Oryctolagus cuniculus: one gene and its partner. The protein of the gene in region 1 binds, or shares a complex with, the protein of each later gene. Links are inferred from orthologs where the notes say so. Each region holds a gene or a part of one and is shown on either strand. Other genes may lie near its edges.

Evidence for each region.
Region 2: CPSF2 (region 1) and CPSF4 share a complex: the UniProt entries of both Homo sapiens proteins name them as parts of the cleavage and polyadenylation specificity factor (CPSF) complex. The link is inferred for Oryctolagus cuniculus from reciprocal best matches to the Homo sapiens genes CPSF2 and CPSF4.

The regions. Positions count from the first base shown.
Region 1 is NC_091451.1:37,371,186-37,375,542, forward strand, and holds the start of CPSF2 (cleavage and polyadenylation specificity factor subunit 2), read left to right. Parts: upstream 1-1,295; 5' UTR 1,296-1,435; intron 1,436-3,059; exon of another isoform or gene 3,060-3,081; intron 3,082-4,357. UniProt on the Homo sapiens protein: Component of the cleavage and polyadenylation specificity factor (CPSF) complex that play a key role in pre-mRNA 3'-end formation, recognizing the AAUAAA signal sequence and interacting with poly(A) polymerase and other factors to bring about cleavage and poly(A) addition.
Region 2 is NC_091450.1:41,649,859-41,654,275, forward strand, and holds the start of CPSF4 (cleavage and polyadenylation specificity factor subunit 4), read left to right. Parts: upstream 1-1,590; 5' UTR 1,591-1,749; coding exon 1,750-1,852; intron 1,853-4,417. UniProt on the Homo sapiens protein: Component of the cleavage and polyadenylation specificity factor (CPSF) complex that play a key role in pre-mRNA 3'-end formation, recognizing the AAUAAA signal sequence and interacting with poly(A) polymerase and other factors to bring about cleavage and poly(A) addition.

The DNA of each region.
Region 1 (4,357 bases):
TCCTCCGCCTGCGGCGCCAGCATCCCATATGGGCGCCGGTTCCCGTCCTGGCTGCCCCTCTTCCAGCCCAGCTCTCTGCTGTGGCCCGGGAGGGCAGTGGAGGATGGCCCAAGTGCTTGGGCCTCTGCACCCGTGTGGGAGACCAGGAGAAGCACCTGGCTCCTAATCAGCACAGCTCCGGCTGTAGTGGCCATTTGGGGGGTGAACCAGCAGATGGAAGACCTCTTTCTGTCTCTCCCTTGCACTGTCTTAACTCTACCTCTCAAATAAATACATAAAATCTTAAAAAAAAAAAAAAAAAAAAAAAAAACCACCTGGCATCGTTGTCTCTTGTTTTTTAAATCACTTCAAACTCTTGATGCACACATATATATACAAATATACATATACATACAAATATATATATATATATATATATATACACCCTGTGTTTTGCCCAGAAAGTTTCAATTTACCAATGCAAAGTGCTGAGTGCATGGAGGAACTGAGCTCCTGGGGCACGGAAGGACACGCACCTTAGCAACCGAGCACGAACGTGACACACCTAAGGCTTTAAGAAGCAGAAGGGAGCGAGGCAGGCGAGCAGACGGAGCGCTGAGCCTCGGCCGCCCGGGACACACAGGCCAAGCGGCCGTCACGCACTTCCGCGGGCCCCCGCATGCGGTCCCGCCGGTGTCCCCGCGTCCAGCAGCGGGGCGGCCACCGGGCCCCCGCTAAAGACATTTCCCAGTCACGACAGCCGCGGACGAAGCCTGTCGTCCCCTCAAAAGCCCTATCCCCTCTCCTTTTCCGTCACCTTGGCTCGGAGGCGCCGGGAAGGCCCAGGCCACCCGACCGCGAGCACGGACCACCGCCGAGGCTTTCCTAGAACCCGCCGCACCCGCTCCACCCGGCTCGGCGGAACCGCGCCCCCCGGGACCCCCGCACCCGCACCCGCACCCACCTGCGGCGCCGGCGCCCAGCACGACCCACCGCCAAGGGCAGCGACCCGCACAGCCAGCGGCGCCGGCGGAAGCTGCGACCTCGGGACGTGCCATTCGCCGCGCGCGGACGGAGGAGAGGGGTGGCGGCCGGCGACACATACCTCGCCTTCCTTTCTGGGCGTGATTCTTTGTTACTTTTCTAAAGCTTTCGGACACCAACCATAATTTCTGACGGAACTTCGGCCCGAGGTGACGTGATCTGTCGGCGTCGGCGCCACCGCCTTCCCACGGCTTCGACTCCCCCCCTCCCCGGCCCGGGTGGTATCACCCTGGATCTTCCCCCTCGGCTCCGCGCCTCCGGTTTCAAAATGGCGGCCGCCACTGCGGGGCTCTTGCTGGCCGGGCGTCGGGGTTGCAGCTGAGCGAACGTCTGCTTTTGTCCCTCTTGAGCCTGGATCCGACTAGGGGTTGGGCAGGGCCCTAGTGGACGCCGTTGGGGGAGGCCTGACGAGGCAAGTGAGGGCGGGAGAAAGGCATGAGTCTTTGGATGGGGGAGGAGGCGTCCTAAGCGCGCCGGGGCAACAGGGCTGCAGCTAGGACCCGGCTCCTCCGAGGACGAGCTCCCGCGGCTTCCGATGCGGCTGTCCGGTGGTTCCCGGCACAAGGACGGAGGAGCAGCAGCGCCTTGCCTACGGCTGTAGCGCTCCCGGGTCTTCCGCGCCGGCCTGTCGGGTCCGCCGCCGTCCCGCTCGGCTTCCCTCGGTCCTTGGGGCCTCTCGGCGCCGGAGGAGTTCGCCTGACGCCAGCTTTGGCTCCTGGGCCTCGGGGCTCGGGCGCGCGCCGTTCGCAGCCCCTCGGCTCAGGGCCTTCCCGCGGCGTTGGGCCGAAGGGCCACGAGGCCGCCGAGCCTAGGGCGCAGAGCAGGTGTGCTCGCAGACGGCGGTGGCGCGCGGCTCGCCCCGGGCGCCTGCACCTTCGCTGCCGCCTTTCCCGGGACCTCTTTCTCTCTGTTGACAAGGCCCTCAGAAAACGAGGCGTCCGAGGGGCTGTGGCCCCCGCACGTCTGGGCTCCTGTGACCAGGCGACCCTGAGCCAGCCCTCACTTGTGTTCGAGTCCTGTCCCCTGGGATGAAGCCGCCGCTCGCCCTGCACTGACCAGGAAGAGGCGTTGCACTCCATGGCTTACTGTCTCGTTTCTTTCTTTTCTTCTCTCTCTCTCTCTCTCTTTTTTTTTTTTTTTTTTTTTTAAGATTTATTATTTGAGAGAGAGGGAAAGACAGAGGTCTTCCATCCTCTGGTTCACCACCAAATGGCTTTAACAACCGGAGCTGGACCGATCTGAGGCCAGGAGCTTCTTCCGGGTCTCCCACGTGGGTGCAGAGGCCCAAGGACTTGGGCATCTTCCACTGCTTTCCCAGGCCATAGCAGAGAGCTGGATTGGAAGTGGAGCAGCCAGGACACAAACTGGTGCCCTGATGGGCTGCCCCCACTGCAGGAGGAGACTTTACCGTCTGTGCTGCAGCTTCGGCCCCATCTCCGTTTTCTCTTGGATCCTGCACACATCCATAGCCGCCACCAACCTGCCTGGTCCCTACTGAGAGCCCACATAACAGTGATAGAGACCCAGAGTCGCTGTCAGGTCCCCGCCCTGGGGGAGCTTCCAAGTGTGAGGGTTCATCCCTCTCTCAGGACACATTTGTATTTGCTTTGAGCACTGTGCCTGGCATTGGAAATACAAAGGTGATGCCTTTATGCATTCAACAATAGTCCCTTTGTCTCAAAGTAACAATAACCAAGCTCCATGAATTACTCATTGTTTGAACTTGGCCACAAAAGAGTAAAAGAAATTTGCTAAGCTCAGAAGGTCATTTCTGGATTTAGCTCAGGGATGCAGACTTGAGAATATTTGGCGTATTTAGGGAGTGTGTGTGTGCTGTGCCAGGTGGCTGGCAAAGCAAGAGGCAGGTTGAGATCAGCTTGTGCAGGGCCTTGATTTCCAACCAAGGAGTTTAGATTTTTTTCAGCAGTTAGCAGGAAGCCAGTGAGTGCCTCGCACCAGGAGTGGAAGTGAGGTTATTTGCTTTTTAGGATGGTCTCTGGCAGCTATGGAGGTTCAGCCTGGAACAGGAAAACGGGCGAGTAAGTTACAGTCTTCCAGGTAAGGCAATGAGGGCCTCTGTTGAGGTAGGACATTAAAGGATGTCGGACTAGGGTCAAGTGGGATTCAGCTGGTGACCGCCAGCTTCCGCAAGGAGGGACTCGGGGTTTCAGTGTGGGAGACTGACTGGTTGGTGATGCCAGCAAAACACAGCAAAACATGCCCAGGAAACTAGAGTGGGCCCACCCTGCCCCCGAGAAGAGGCAGGAGCCCAGTGGTTACTGCTCAAGCACCCATTGTGGAGGGTAGGCCTGCGCTACTACAGTAGCTGCCTGTAGCTGTTGGGCTTGAGATGTAGTTAGTTCTTGTTGATTTGTTTGAAAGAGTTACAGAGCTGTCTTCCACCTGCTGGTTCACTTCCTGGTTCACTTCCTGGATGACCGTACCAGCCAGGGTTGAACTGGGCTAGAGCCAGGGGTTTCTGAGAGTCTACATGGGTGCAGGGGCCCAAGCTCTTGGGTTGTTAGCAGGGAGCTAGATTGGAAGTGGAGCAGCTGTAAATCAAACCGGAGTCCATATAGGAGGCCAGTGTCACAGGTGGTGGCTTTACCCGCTGTGCCACAATGGCAACCCCAAGATGGTTCCAATGGAGATGTGCCATAAATGTAAAATACACACTAGATTTTGAAGACTTGATATAAAAAACAGAAGAGCAAAATAGCACTAATTTTTAATAATGGATACATGTTAAAATGGTAACATTTTGGTTAAATGGGCTAAATAAAAGACTGAGACTTCATGTTTAACTTCTCAATGTGGCTGTGAAAAAATGTTTAGTTACACTTGTGACGTGCATTGTATTTCTGTGGATGGAGTCTTCTGGTCCAGACTCAACGGTGGGGGATCAGAGGAAGCTGCATTTCAGCTGGAGCGTGAGAGGTGATGGGAGCCGTGGTGTCAGGGCGGCTGCCCAGCAGCCTCCATTGCCCGCTGAGGTGTTTAGGTATTTGTTTTGAAGCAGTAGGAAGTCGGCGGAGTTTTCTGAGCAAGGAGAAATGGGTGTATAGGGCTGGTTCTGAAGACTGATCTGGCAGCAGCATGTGGGTAGGGAGGAAAGACTGGAGGCGAAGACAGCAAGAAGCCCAGATGTGCAGCGGGGAGGCCCTGTGTCGGGATCGTGGTGTTGGGATGGATGGGGGATGATGCGGGAAAACAAGCGGCAGTGGGTCACAGGCCTTACAAGGAGAAGTAAAGGGAAAAATTAAACATGGAGTTTACGGCCTTGGTTACTTATAGCAGTTAATGAGTTGATATCACAGAATAATCAAATGCGTGG
Region 2 (4,417 bases), on another chromosome or scaffold:
AGTACCTGAGTGACACGGTGCAGACGGCCTCAGCGGCCCTTGTCTGCATCCCACAGGCCTCCACTCCTGACAAGCATTAGTTAAAACACACAGGGTTACCAGGAGGGTGGGAGGCAGGGAATATCATTATATTCTCAGAACTGTATCCAAGACCTATACTGTTAAAAAGTGACTTGAGGCTGGCGCCGCAGCTCACTAGGCTAATCCTCCGCCGCGGCGCCGGCACACTGGGTTCTAGTCCCAGTCTGGGCACCGGATTCTGTCCTGGTGGCCCCTCTTCCAGGCCAGCTCTCTGCTGTGGCTCAGGAGTGCAGTGGAGGATGGCCCAAGTCCTTGGGCCCTGCACCTGGCTCCTGGCTTCGGATCAGTGCGGTGCGCCGGCCGTAGCGGCCATTTGGGGGGTGAACCAACGGAAAAGGAAGACCTTTCTCTCTGTCTCTCTCTGTCTAACTCTGCCTGTCAAAAAAAAAAAAAAAGTAATTTGAAAAACAAAAATAAATCGTGAACAATGAAAAAAATAGGGGCCGGCGCTGTGGCATAGCGGGTAAAGCTGCCACCTGCAGTGCCAGCATCCCATATGGGCGCCAGTTCGAGTCCTGGCTGCTCCATTTCTGATCCAGCTCCCTGCTATGGCCTGGGAAAACAGTAGAAGTCCTTGGGCCCCTGCACCTGAGTGGGAGACCTGGAAGAAGCTCTTATCTCCTGGCTTCTGATCAGCACAGCTCCGGCTGTTGCGGCCAATTGGGGAGTGAACCAGCGGATGGAAGCCTCTCTCTCTCTCTCTCTGTCTCTGTAACTCTGACTTTCAAATAACTAAATAAATCTTAAAAAAGAAAAAAATAAATAAATCACATAGAATCAGCAAAACAATACCTAGATATAGAAAGAGGCATTTTACACTATGCTCTGTGTCCCTCCATGGTTTTCCAGCGTGAGCGAGCTGCATGGACCCTCAGCCCCCCTCGAAATGACACGGTTTCGGGCCCTACCCCAGCTGCTCTGTCAATCAACTAAATGCAATCAATGCTCGATCTCACATCGAGAAAACGAATAAAAAGGGCAATTTTGTTCCCACCCAAGTCCACTAACGCACCCAGGTTAAAAACCCCCGGGGTTGAGAGCCCCGCGGCCGCCGTCCTCCCTCGGACCCCGCATTCCCAGACGCTCGCCCGGCCCCCTGGTCACCCCGGCCCCCTCTCACCCCGGTTTCCTCCGACGCCCCCGGGCCTCCCTAGGCTCGGGTCCCCGGGCCGCTGTGAGGACCCATGGGAACTCCCAAGCGTAGGGGTCGCGGGCCCCAGGCCCCAGGGACCCGGCCTCACGCGGCCCAGTCCCGCGTGCCGAACCGGCCCGGTTCCCCTGTGGGTCACCCTCCGCCAGAAGCACGCGCCCCGCGGAGCCTCGCCCATGCGCAGTCCGCGTCGCAAGCTCCCACGCGCGGGGGTTTCGGCTTACCGGCCAGGCGAGGGGAAGGGAGGCGCTGCGTTCGGCGGGCGGCTAGCCGGGCCTGGCAGAGCGGTCGTCCTCCGCTCTCGATTGGCCGGGTCTGGACGTGCAAAAGCACCGGCGCGGGCTCGGGCGCTCCCGGCATCCCTCGCGCGGTGGTGGCGGCGGCGGTGGCGGCAGTGGCGGCGGCGAGGCGGAGGCGGAGGAGGCGGACTGCGTGCGGCTGGGGCCGGCGGCGGGTGGAGGAGTGAGGGCAGCGAAAGACCTGAGAGGAAGTCGGGCCGGGGGGCCGCCGCCGCCGCCATGCAGGAGATCATCGCTAGCGTGGACCACATTAAGTTCGACTTGGAGATCGCGGTGGAGCAGCAGCTCGGGGCGCAGCCGCTGCCCTTCCCCGGCATGGACAGTGAGCGCGGGGCCGGGGCGGGCGGGCGAGAGCGACTCCGCTCCGGGACACCTGTCTCTCGGTCCCGGAACCCCTGCTTGCCGGGGGCCGGGGTCCCCATTTTCTTCCCTCGGACTCCGGAGCCCCCTCCCTCCCCCCACCGTGCGCACTCTCTCGGGTCTTTGGACCCCTGGGGCCGCTCTGAGGTCCGCTTCGGGCGGTGCTTGTGTAGTTCTGGAATGAGGGCGAGTCACGCTGGGTCGGCAACCCCAGCCCCGGGCAAGTCCTGGGCTGTGCGCCCCGCCGCCTCCCGCCCCACTCGCTGAGCGGCCGCACTGGGTCCGAAGGGGAGCCCTGCCGAGGAAGGGGCCTCCTCCCCTCTGTAGGAGACCCCCAGCCAACCCCCGTCTGCTCCTAGGACTCGCTCTCCTGGGAGCGCATCTCCAGTCTGGCCTTGTCCCCCACTTTTTCTCTGGTCCCCGGGAAAACATCGCACCCGGGCACCTGAGCCCCCATTAACCGTCTTCCTTCCCCTGGCTTCTCCACCTCCCAGCGCAGACTTTAAAAGACATAGCAGTTTTCTTATCTCCTCTCGTTTGTGCACCTGCTTCGGATCTGCAACTGTAAAGCGCACGTCACGGACGGGGAACGGAGGCCCCGGGTGGAGAAGGGACTTGGAGCCCACGTACAGCCAGGCTGTGTCCCGCAGCTGCCAGCAGCAGCACTGCCCTCAGGCAGCCCAGCCTTCTCACACCCACGTGATCCGCCTCTCTGCTAGCGAGGGCACGCCCAAGAGACCACCATGAGAGTACCCCTGGGGGGCCCCCCACCCCACCCCTCCGACCACCGAGGAGAGCCCCCCGGGCTCCCCGACCCCAACGACCACCACCGATGAGAGTCCCCCTGGGCTCCCCGACCCCTCCGACCACCACCCCTCCAACCACCGAGGAGAGTCCTCCGGGTGCTCCCCCCGACCCCTCTGTCTGCGACCTCTCGGTGCGCACACACTCACGTGCAGCTTCTCATTTCTCACTCTTGGTCTCTTCATGTCTCAGGGGCACTGGTTTGAGGCCGTGGGACCATCCTACTCCCGCTTGGCAACACAGATCCAGGAGCCTGTGAGGCCGGGGGCGGGGCCCCACGGGGCTGCCCCGGGACACAGGCAGCCCGAGCACTCCCCACGTGTCCGTGCTCACGTGCCCTGCGTACCTTCCCTGAGCTGCTTCCCCATCCCAGTGCTGGGAAGAACCCCTTCTGCCCTTGAGACAGGCTCCTTATCCCATCTGCCTGAGCCTCAGTCAGACGTAGCAACAGAGGGAGAAAGAGAGGTCTTCCATCTGCTGGTTTGCTCCCCAAGTGCCCACAGCAGCCCGGGTCTGGACCAGGTGGCTGAAGCCAGGAGCCTGGAACTCCATCTGGGTCTCCCACGTGGGTAGCAGAGACCCAAGTCCTTGAGTCATCATCTATTGCTTCCCAGGATGATTGACAGCAAGCTGAATCAGAAGTGGAGGGGCGGGACTTGACCCAGTACTCTGACGATGGGATGTGGGCATCCCAAGTGGCCACTTAACCTGCTCTGCCACGCCTGCTCCTAAATGGTATATATATTTTAAGATTTTATTATTTATTTATTTGAGAGGGAGCGACAGAGAAAAAGGTCTTCCATCCTCTGTTCACTCCCCAAATGGCCACAATAGCTGGAGCTGAGCCAATTAGAAGCTGGAGCCAGGAGCTTCTTCCAGGTCTCCCACGCAGGTGCAGGGGCCCAAGCACTTGGGCCATCTTCTACTGCTTTCCCAGGCCATAGCAGGGAGCTGGATGGGAAAAGGAGCAGCCGGGACTCGAACTGGCGCCCATATGGGATGCCGGCACTGCAGGCGGAGGCTTAGCCCACTACCACAGCAATGGCCCCAGTGGTATGTTTTTAAATGCAAGGTTTTCAGATTTTTGAGATGCGAACAGAATGACACCCCAAGTTCTACAACCTTAGCTCTGTCCAGCACAGTCTGCCTGTTTTGAGAAGCCAAGGAAGCCACTCCAGAGAGACCGCCAGTGGGTTTCAGCGGTTCTGAAATGGCTGCTGGTAGAGAAGACTTCGTGAGCCCAGGGAACGTTTAATCTGCTAGCCATGGCCAGTGGATTCCTGGACTCGCAGACCCTGGCCCCAAGCCCCCCGACTTCCCTGCGCTGCACCTGTGGGAATGCAGGCTGGGCCCCTCAGCAGCAATGTGGGTGCCGCGTACCCAGGGCCTTCCTGCCTGTGCTCTGCCCCCTGACCAGCGTCCCGAGGCCCCCAGCCCCTCCTCCCAGGCCCCGTTTGCTTGTGCTGCCTGTCCCATCTTCCCCCCTGCCTGTGAAGTAGCTCTCCTGGAAGCGCTGAGCGGGGGGATTAGCTCATTTCTGTGAGCCTGTGTGCCAACTTTCCTTCCCCCACCCACTCTTAACTCCTTGGAAGGAACTTGTGGACAGGAAGCTCTCGGCAAGCCTGGGTTTCACTGTGTGCATCTCACCTTTCACTGTGTGCATCTCACCTGCCGGGTAGGACGGAAACAGGCAGCTTTGTCCTTGCTCGGCTGGGTCTCCTTA